3 linked regions of the Drosophila melanogaster genome follow. The protein of the gene in region 2 interacts with the protein of the main gene of each other region in a pairwise test. Each region holds a gene or a part of one and is shown on either strand. Other genes may lie near its edges. The genes, in order: aspr, slou and CG31740.

Region 1 (3,757 bases), on a different chromosome or scaffold from region 2:
CCCAAAGAACAGGTGCCCGTATCGGTCGTCAGGTGAATTCTCATTCAATTATGGCCAATTGGCGTACGTTTCAATTTGCAGTTTAATCTGTAATATTCCCATATCGATTCGATTTGCGGAGCTTAAGCGATGCCATTCAATGATGCCATTTCATTTGAAAATGGTAGTCGATTGCAAATTGGCAAATGGTCATTATCTTATTGCTATAGGTCAAACCATCTCTATTATTCATTCTAACCAATGCCCACGCAGCCAGCAGAAGTCAAGATTCTCGTTTTAATTGGCTCGATTCCAGTGCAGATTCGTTTGTTCTTAATCCGTTCTTTTTGATATCGAATGAAAGTGGAGCCGGTCTTGCTAAGCTTATATTTTAAACTCGAATGCCATTGAAATGGACTTAGGAAACGGTAGAGTGAGTTAGTGAAGATGTTCAATGAAATACCCAATTGGCTTATTGTGTGGTATGAGTGAATCGGAATACCTCAAGCTAATCAAGAATATTTACGGCCTCTCAGTTTTTTTTTTTTTTCAAATTTTATTTTCTTTCATTTATGTATATTCTCTTTTCGCTTACTATTTGAACGGAAATGGGCGATTTTTTGTTCTCCTCAATTTCCGACATATTTCAGATTGAAAAATATGTAAATTCGTGAAATTAATTAAATTTTGTAATGCGATTATCTACATATATCTTATGCCCAATTAAGAAGAAATAGAAAGAAGAAAAAACCTTAGCGAAATGACCATATTGAATATTTCCCCCAGTTAGTAGTAATAGGCATCCGGTGCGGATAAGATACATTCTGTTTGAAGAATCGGTATAAATTATAGTATAATAGATTTGTAAATTTAAATGACATAACTGTCTTTTAAATCCTACAAAGATAAAGAGTCGCTTAGTTTTGGATGCTTTCAGAAATATGTGTGTACATATATTACCAGGTACCGCCTAGTACTAGCGACCTGCCCATTGTGTCAAGTGGGCAATTTCTTCGTTCACAGCCAAGTTGCCTACGATCCGGAGCCGTGTTTAGTAGGAAGCCCAGCCAAGTTCGACCCACGGCACTTGGATGCAGCGGCCCACGCAGAAATCGAGCCATCATAGCAAAGGCATGACCAAAACAATCCGAAGCAAAGTCGCGTCAAGTACGCGTATATAAATAGCCCGATGCCCAGGCAAATATATGTATATATATGTATATGTATGTGTGTACGAATGACTCAGTCTGAGAAGCGATTTGGACTGAAATGATTTTAGCTAAAATCGAGCAGCACAATATACAAAGTCAACAAACAGCAAAACAAGCTTGTCAAACAGAGTTATGAGACAGAATGCTGGTGCATTGGGAAAAATAGTTTTCCAACTGACAGGCTGAACAAATATATATAACTAAATTAACTACTTCATCAATTTGATCTACTGCTTTCGTTACTCGAAATGTTTCTAGTTTAGCAAGTTGAACTTATGCAGACATAATGGTAAATTAGTTATAAAACTAATGAATTTGGTAAATTCCGATCTTTATTTTGTTAAAATTACAACAACTATTGGATGCTACTACCTGAGGAGAGATAATTTACTTTACAAATCTTTAATATCAAGCTATACTATAGTTTTTTCTCTGTGTAAGTGGAAGGGTTGTGGATGCGGGGTAGAGGGGAATTCGGGAAGGGAAGGTGAGCAGATCAGAGCAGAGCAGAGCAGCTGAGAGATGACGCCAACGTCGCTCAGCTGTTTCTCGGCCAAGTTAAGAGTTGCGGCCTTATAAATAGCCCAAGCTCGTCTAGAAGCCGACTCAGTTGAAAGCGAAGCGTGCCAAGTGGGAAATCGCAACCATTTATCAGTTGACACTTTTTGTTTTGTTTTTTATTTTACGTTCTTTATCTGCTGTAGTGCTAGTGTTTTCTAAGAACTGAACCCCGAAAATGGTGAGTTGCAGTGGGAATAACCAAAATCAATATGTATATATAAACGTGTGTTAAGGAATATATCCTTTTTTTTTTTTAAATCATCTAAACTGAAGCAATCTATCAACGATGGATAATTTATAAACAATTTTATAAAAGTAATAAAAATGGGTTCGATTTAAGGAAAGAATCTGAATCACGAATAAGTATATAGATTTAAACTTGCACATTTATTTGCTGTTTATTTTCTTCACCGCGAAAACTTAAGTGAAAAAATTACGCACAAAGGCAATACATAAAATATGCATTCAGTAAATGATACGTGAATGGAATATTGATGTACTTAAAGCAAACACGACAAAAAAAATATTCATTTCACAATGTAAGGACTTAACTTTGCTATTTGCTATTTACTTCCGGCTAGATGAATAGTGGTGAATGGATTTGCAAATACATCGAATGAACCAAGAAATATTCCCACATACTCGTAATGTTTCTGAAGCCCACGATCGGTTTATTCTTTTGAGTGTCTTCGATCTGCCTTTTATCTGCCCATTTTTTTGTTTTTTTTGGCGATGATCAATCACTCAACGCTTTTTAAGCTGCCCAAGTAAACATCAAGCCCATTATTCATTTGTTTGTGCACAAAGCCAAAAACACAAACCAATTAGTTTCTAGCACTTTAGCATAGCTTGTTATTTTAATTGCCATTACGAGAAGAGTAAAAAGTCCAATAGATTTGAATTGTTTACCTTTTTACCTACTTATGTTGAGCACTTAACATTTTCTTGCTCATTATTTAAATTTAGAAAGCATTAATTTAATCTAAACTCTGACAGGTTTTACGTTTTATTTAACTAATTCAAGATTGAACAGATTATATAGTTGACTATTTAGTTCTCGCCCTTCCAAAAGCAATTATTTAAATGTACATATGTATGTACATATATAATATAACAAATATGGCTCTGATTCACTTCACTTCCCTTGCGCAATGTAATCAGATTATAAATCACCCTGCAAGATGTGTGATTTAAGAAAAAAATCCAATTTCCTCCCTCGGTGGATCCATCCGTGCCATTTACGCGATGATCGACAACTTAGTTGATACGAACATGGACTACCATATTGGTCATTCAGAGTAATTCGAAAAGGCAGCCGACCCCCATTTGCATATTCTTATTGTATGCCGATATTTGAATAATTGTTTTTAGCCCGAATTGAGCTTCCAAAGAAGCGGACAACAAGTTTATCACCCATGTGTCATTCGCCAACAATGATCGCCACCTTGAGAGCGAAGCCATATCATCATCTCGATCGTCTCGTCTCGTCTCGTCTCATCTCCATGCCCAGTTAGCCCAAACATGGTGCCACCAGAATCCCACTGACCACTGAGAGTCCAAGTCCAAGCCAATGTTTGCTACCAAACAGCGGATCATCGAGTTAGTCATGTTTATTGGGCTTTTTCAGAACTCGAATGCGATTATGACACATAAACCGGCAAAGGGGGCGTGATACTCGCTTCTCGATTGAGATGTTTGTTCATATCGAATACTTTAGTGAATGAATCCCAATCCAGTTCAAACTCATTTCATTCGACTGGCTCTACGATTGACGCAGAATATGACATTTATCTTTGTATTACCGTTGTCTTTTATTTAGTTTCGTTACTAATGAGAACTAGTGAATGCACTCCATTTGGAGTTACTTCAAGTTAGTATTCAAATATATTCAAATATTATATTCATCTTAGATCGGTATCGTATTGAATTTAAATTCAAGTGATAGCAGCACTAATCGCAGCTGATCCTTCTCTTGCAGCAGCAGCTCCTGGTCGTGGCCCTGGTGG
Region 2 (3,757 bases):
GAGCGCACTTAAATAATGAATAATGACGAGACAAGCAATTAAAATAATTTGCGGTTTTACCGTGCGTATGCGCATCATTTAATTTTGCATGTAAAGAGTTAAGCACTTATTACACAGCGAGAAACGGGCCCAGCCAAAGGATGATGTCCCACTGTCGTGGATGAGCAACCGAGTGTGATAATGCGCTGAGTGCGGAGTATAGTATATACGAGATTCCGCCATCAATGGGCCAATTAAAATGAGTGCCCGACGCTCTGGTGTTGGTGGCCAGCATCTTAAAACTAATTAAAACGAAAAACGGCATAACAAGCTGCTCATTAAGCATCCGAGTTCCCTTCGCCACCCCGATCTGCGGTTAATTATAGAAGGAAGAAGACGAGCCTTGCTAACGAGCGGCGAAGTGAAGCCAGTGGATATATAGAAGCAGTAGCTAACACCCAACATTCCAGCGTTGGAGTTCATTAAGCAGCGCCCGGTGTCCATTTAACGATGTCACTTATACGCCCCATTGTCCCCACAACCAAAAACGAATCAGAAGAAAAACCCCCAGAGCCGAGTGGCCTATCCCCAGTGAACCAGGCATCCAGCTATCCATTCATTCACCCCTCGACCACCCAGCCCGCCCCACTGAAGGCCACTGCTGCGATGCGTATAAACCGCAAATTGGATGCGATATTAAATCGTCTGTGCCAAAGCGCATATAAATTTTTGTTCAATTTTAAAGAATTTTCCGAGAGCGAGCAGGCGCAGGAGTAAGAGAGAAAGAAGCCCGACGAAAGAGAGAGAGAGAGAGTGCGAGCAGAAGAGCACGGCTATAGTGTGGCTGTCCCCCTCGAACGCTTTGAGTTTTACATAGGAAGTGTCAAGGAGAAAAACCACAAGGATGTGTTTTTTTTTCGTTCGAATAATAAAAGAGAAAGAAATCAAAAGCGAAAAGTAAATAAACCAACTAATTAGCAACATAATTACGGCCACGAAAATATTCAAAAATTCAATTAAGCTGAAGAAAGCACAAAGCATTCATGCATAAATGACTAAGAACAAACCAGGCATGCCAAAAGCAAAGCAAACTCAACACACAACTGGCGAAAATATGAAACAGAAAAACATATAGTACAAATAAATAAAAACAAGAACTGAGAGAAATGTGCAAAAAGTTGAGATCCATTTCGCAAGCACCCAACCGCATAAACAAACAAATTTTGCGCTAAATAATTTGACAATTACTCACATCCTCGGGAGGCGAAGGCTGCACGGATGGCTGGACAGCTGGCTGGCTAGCTGCGTGGCTGTATGGCTGGCCTTTGTTTCCATCGGGTGGCTATTACAGTTGAGTGAAGAACTATGTAAAACAGCACTCCGGAATCCTCTCCTCTCCTCTCCTCTCCTCTTCTCACGCGCTCGCATCCTGCCGCTCTGTGGCTTAGACTTGCGACAGACCATTACATTTGCTAACGAGTGGAAGGCAAATTAAATCATTAGATGCTAGTAGAGATTAGAGCCACGGCGGGGAGGAGCCAATCCACTCAAAGAACCACTCAGCGGTGGGCGTGTAGAGCGCCGCACAGAGAGTCACTCAAAGCAAAAACCACCACCATACCACGATAACTGCCTCCACCACCACCACCACCACCACCATAACCAGCACTACCACCAGAAGCAGAAGCAGCAGCAGCAGCAGCATCAGCATTTAGCTATTGACTTGCCACAGGCACACAACACGGCACATCTGTTGGATTAAGAACTCGGAGAAATCGGAAACAACCCTCATCATTACGCTTCTGGCTCTTGAGCGTGTGAGTCGTCGCGCGCGGATTACGACCAGGATAATCGGACGTCGGACGACGACGGCAGCAGCGGCAGCATAGGCAGCGTCCACGTCGGATATTGGCATCTCCGGATTCAGTCGATTGGCTGCCCTCAAGGTGACAAGACACGCAACGCGCAGTGAACACTCAGTGAACTCGAACTCTCAGTGAACGCCCAGTGAATCCAAGACAATATATCCAAAGACCCAAAAATGGTCATGTTGCAATCGCCGGCGCAAAAGGCCAGCGATAGTGCGTCAGCCCAAAACACAGCCGTCGGTGGCCTGATGAGTCCCAACTCGAACCCGGACTCGCCCAAGTCCAACACCTCGCCGGATGTGGCGAGTGCGGACAGTGTGGTGTCCGGCACAGGCGGTGGCAGCACTCCGCCAGCGGCCAAGATACCCAAGTTCATCATCAGCGCCAATGGCGCAGCGGTGGCGGGAAAACAGGAGCAGGAGCTGAGGTACTCCCTCGAACGGCTCAAGCAGATGAGCAGTGAATCGGGCAGCTTGCTCAGCCGCTTGAGCCCCTTGCAGGAGGACTCCCAGGATAAGGAGAAGCCCAATCACAACAACAATAACAGTCTAACTAATCACAATGCAAACAGCAATACACGTCGCTCGCAATCCCCTCCAGCATCGGTGGGATCCGTAAGCTTCTCCTCGCCAGCCCAGCAGCGAAAGCTCCTGGAACTGAATGCTGTGCGCCACTTGGCAAGGCCGGAGCCACTGCAGCATCCTCATGCGGCCCTGCTGCAGCAGCATCCCCACTTGCTGCAGAATCCGCAGTTCCTGGCCGCCGCCCAGCAGCACATGCACCATCATCAGCATCAGCATCACCAGCATCCCGCACATCCGCATTCGCATCAGCATCCGCATCCACACCCTCATCCGCATCCCCATCCGCATCCGTCGGCGGTCTTTCATTTGAGGGCTCCCAGCAGCAGCAGCACTGCCCCACCCTCGCCGGCCACCTCGCCCCTGTCGCCGCCCACATCCCCGGCCATGCATTCCGACCAGCAGATGAGTCCACCCATCGCTCCCCCCCAAAATCCGCCACATTCCTCGCAGCCACCACAACAGCAGCAGGTTGCCGCACCATCGGACATGGATCTCGAGCGGATTAAGCTGGTGGCTGCGGTGGCAGCCCGCACCACTCAAGCTTCCAGCACCTCCGCCTTGGCGTCCGCCTCGAACTCCGTGTCCAATGCCAGCATCTCCATCTCCAACTCCAGCTCCGGATCGCCCAGTGGACGCGACTTGAGCGACTACGGATTCCGAATACAGCTGGGTGGCCTGGCGGCGGCGGCAGCTGCTGCGGCGGCCACCTCGCGTCAAATTGCAGCAGCCACATACGCGAGGAGCGACACCAGCGAGGAGCTCAACGTCGATGGCAACGACGAGGACAGCAACGATGGATCGCACAGCACGCCGTCGGTAAGATAACTAGATTTCAGTGCACTAAGTGCAAGGATTTCGTAAAATCATATAGAAAAAGTTTAGATTAAATGTTTTGTGATTTTAATATTAAGGTGTGCCAATTATACAAAATGGATTTATTAAAATACTGGTTCTAAAATGAAGGCTGTTAGTGAAAATTTGAAAACTTAAATAGCAAATTTATTATTAATGTTGATATTTATTGCCCACACAATTGGTAGCTTTTATTAGCGTTGGCTAATACAAATTGATTTTATGTTCTGCTCAATTAGCTTTTTTATTAGATTTTGCGTTCGAGTAATTAACCCAATTAACACTTGGTCGAGAAAATATGCCAAAATTAACCTTTTTGTATGTTTATAGCTCGATTTTGAGATTTTCATTTTGTTTTTAAGCGTGTGGTATGTTGAGGAATTTGATTTATATCTATAGATTTTTATTTATAATTGGTATACTTTTCCAAATATATTTTTTATATTTTAGTTTAACTAAATTATATCACCTAGG
Region 3 (3,399 bases), on a different chromosome or scaffold from region 2:
TTAATCCGGGCTACATTGGACCCGATCCGCCCTGCTGTGACCCCGATTGCTTGGAGGAGGGCCACTGCACGGTTCCGGAGTGCGGAGTTTGCCCGGAGTCCCAACTACCCCGATGCAATCCCGCCCCACAATCCAACAAGGACGCGGCGAAGCAACCACTGGACCAGAAAGCCCAAAAAGAACCGAAGCTCCGGGAACAGAAGTAGTGGGGAAAAAGGCAAAGCTGCAAAAATGAACCAGGAGTCCTTTGGAGATGTGCTGAACACACAACCTTGTTGTGTGTTGCTAATATCTTCAAACATCTTGAGCTAAACCCATTTAGCTCATCATCTCCTGGGCATCGAACCGTCATATTGTAACATTATATTTCAAAAAAATTAATAATAATAATAAATAAATAAAATGAATATCTATAAATAATAAAAACAATAATAATATATATTAACCTCAAATTACCAGCTCTTTTCTATTTTAGCACAAAATAACTGTGGATAAAAAATACAGATAAAATTAATTCATTTTCTTATGATCTATCTAAAATGAAGTCAAATAAATTTAAACCAGCATTCTTGATTTAAATGTCAACAAAATAACACATAAGCGTACATACGCATTTTCTTCATTCAAATTTCAAGCACGAAACGTGTTGTTCTGGTCAAACATTTGTTTAAATTTCTCATTTTTCTCTTCCATTTCCGGTGAGTTTCGAAAGAGAAAATGTGGGAGATGTATTTATAAAATAAGATTTGCAGACTTCTTTCGAGTGCTGAAAATGGTTTACTTAAGTCGTCCTTGGACTCCGGCCATAAACCCTTTCTACATTGGCCCCTATCCGAGATGCGCAGTATGTCCGTGCAACTTCGACATTTACAAAGGATACACCCCCGGTGGCTGGCACAGTCGTTGCTATAGCAGCTATTGACGAGACGAGTACCTGTATAAAATGCAAGAATAACGGCGGGAACAAATATAGTTGAACTTTGAAACTGCACACCAATTAGCCTCGCACACATCTATGTAGAGAAATAATAAAATTGATTCATCGTCACCAAACTGTTGAATATTGCTGGGGAAATAATATAAATATTCCAATCGAAATGGCTTAGATTTCAAATTAGAACTCCTGGGAATTTTAGTTTATCAGGTCGCAAATTGTGTGAAAATAGTTTTCTAAATTCAAAATTCAAGTCTCTTGGTCATGTCCTCGTCTGTGGATCACGTGGTACACCACGTACTGGCCCCAATGGCAATCAACGTCCTCGATCGCGTGGTGCCAGTAATCCGCCAATTGGTGATCATCATGCATCAGGCATTTCTGGTTGATCACCATGTGTCGGAGCCCGTGATCGATGTATCCGGCATGATTCAGCCCGTTCGTAAAATAGTCTTGATTGTAAACGATTCAACGCCGGAGCACCATGTCGACCAGGAGCAGGTGGTCAGTTCGGATGACATTAACTACCTGATAAATGAAATTTCGCGAAGTATCCGAAACTTGGCCCGTTCGACCTATAATACCATCTCGGCGATGGCTGGAGAGTAGCCCTAGAATTATTTGTCATCGTGGTCGATCGAAAAATCCGACATCGACCCTCCTGATCCTCCAGAAGATCCTGCTCCTTTGCCCAAGATATGGAAATGGTTCACACGGCCATCGGAGTTGCGGGCATAGTGGCCCTGTTTATGGTAGTTTCCCGTTCGTTAACTGAAGTGGGTGGCAGGGTGTTAAACCAAACCCGTGATCCGATCGCTGACCTTGTGAGGCGCGGTGGTCCAGTGGCGGATCAGCTGTCCGCCGTCGAGGGCGAAACTCCTCTAGTAGAGGGCGATCGCATGGATGGCGCCTGCTCCGTGGTACAAAGTATTGGAGGCAAGGCATGTGCCTTTGTAGGACCATTGCTTCCTAAGTTTGGCAGTGAACATAATTCCGAGGGCTCCTCCAAGGAAGACGAAAAGGATAAAAAGGACTCGGAACCGGTAGTAGTAAAACCTGAAACACCGCCAGCGGCAGAATTAACCGAAGAGGAGTAGGATCTAGTCAGCAACTATGTCGAATAGAAAGCAAAAAAAAGGAAATTTTTAGTTTTCTCTAGTTGGCCTTGGAAATAAACTTCACTCATCTTGTGGGCTTTGTGGGATTCGAAACCTAGAGAGCTCATTCATTTTGAACAGCTTGGACTGAACACATCTCTTTCGTAAAATAAAACACAAAAAAAAACAATATGAAAAATTGAACAAAAATTCTAAATTCGTAGCCAAGGATTAACTTCAACGTATTTCTTCAGCAGGAAAAAAAATCCCAGGTACGTTCTAGTTCGTTAAAATTGAATAAAAAAGTTATACAATTTAAAAATTGTAAAATTGCTTTGTTCCCTATAGTAATTTTTAAATATTTGGTAATGTTTTGTTAATAACAAACCCCGTTTTGAATGGTTGCAGCCGTACCTTTTGAGCCCCTCCTGCAGATTTTAGAAGAGATTCCAGTGTCCTTTACCAAATCCAAACTTTCAAGATGGTTCTGATGCTTTGCTGCAGCTTCGATCCCTTCTACGTTGGACCCTGCCCACCCGGCTGCCTGGCTCCTTTGATGGGAGGAACTCCCTATTGCGGATGTGGTCCCTGTGGAGGTTGCTGTAGTCCTTGCTGTGGTCCATGTGGTCCTTGTGGTGGCTGCAGCTCGTGTCCTTGCGGCTGGTGAAGCGCCCGCTATCATAGGCATTAATACGGCAGCAAGCGGTAACAAGTCAATTTAAAGATCAACCTTCTGGAAAAGACTGCTGGAGAAATATGTTGCTGTTCGAATTCCTTTTTGCCTTGGCCGGGGCTAAACCAACTAAGCTCTCGTATACATAAAGAATTTTTATTATAAGCTGTTCAGTAATAAAATGAATTAAAGTACAAAAGGAACTGCTTTGTGATATATCTCAACACCGAATAGATCCAACCTGGCAAGTGGATTACGTCAATGTAAACGTGGATGGCCAGCCTCCAGTTAAGGATGCAAATGTTGTCCTAGGTCTTGCCTAGAACAGCTGTTTGGGGCATCAGGTTTATTGCGCAGTCGCGATTCGAACGCGCAACTCGAACAAAAACATAGAATGTAGAGCATTGTGTCAGGTCAAAGGTTGTTGGGGTAGGGATGGAACACCCCCTTCTATTATTCAATCTTTGAATGAAAATGAAACTGAATCTCCAATGCCTCCTGATGCCATGTTGTGTTTTGGATAAGCGCGATTTACAGGGCCGTGTCTGAGGTGTCCCTGAGTTTTTCTGAGGTGGTGATTCCACTTCATTTACATTCATGTGTGTGTGTGAGCTGGCCATTTCACTCTTATTTTGGCATCACTTGCTTTGTTTTTCCGCGGAATTTATTGCGGTAGGTCGGAATTTTCATTGCTT

What was found.
Region 1: the proteins of slou (region 2) and aspr interact in a two-hybrid assay, tested with the Drosophila melanogaster proteins (one large-scale study listed by BioGRID).
Region 3: the proteins of slou (region 2) and CG31740 interact in a two-hybrid assay, tested with the Drosophila melanogaster proteins (one large-scale study listed by BioGRID).

The regions. Positions count from the first base shown.
Region 1 is NC_004354.4:20,146,333-20,150,089, forward strand, and holds the start of aspr (asperous), read left to right. Parts: upstream 1-1,791; 5' UTR 1,792-1,926; coding exon 1,927-1,929; intron 1,930-3,729; coding exon 3,730-3,757.
Region 2 is NT_033777.3:21,555,122-21,558,878, reverse strand, and holds the start of slou (slouch), read left to right. Parts: upstream 1-1,696; 5' UTR 1,697-2,020; coding exon 2,021-3,247; intron 3,248-3,757. UniProt on the Drosophila melanogaster protein: May play a role in specifying the identity of particular somatic muscles and neurons of the CNS.
Region 3 is NT_033779.5:18,006,796-18,010,194, forward strand, and holds CG31740 (uncharacterized protein), read left to right. Parts: upstream 1-2,157; 5' UTR 2,158-2,303; intron 2,304-2,439; 5' UTR 2,440-2,512; coding exon 2,513-2,698; 3' UTR 2,699-2,899; downstream 2,900-3,399. Other genes in the region: CG5693 (uncharacterized protein), read left to right, coding at 1-206; CG42659 (uncharacterized protein), read left to right, coding at 773-922; CG42634 (uncharacterized protein), read left to right, coding at 1,199-1,543; CG42635 (uncharacterized protein), read left to right, coding at 1,633-2,031.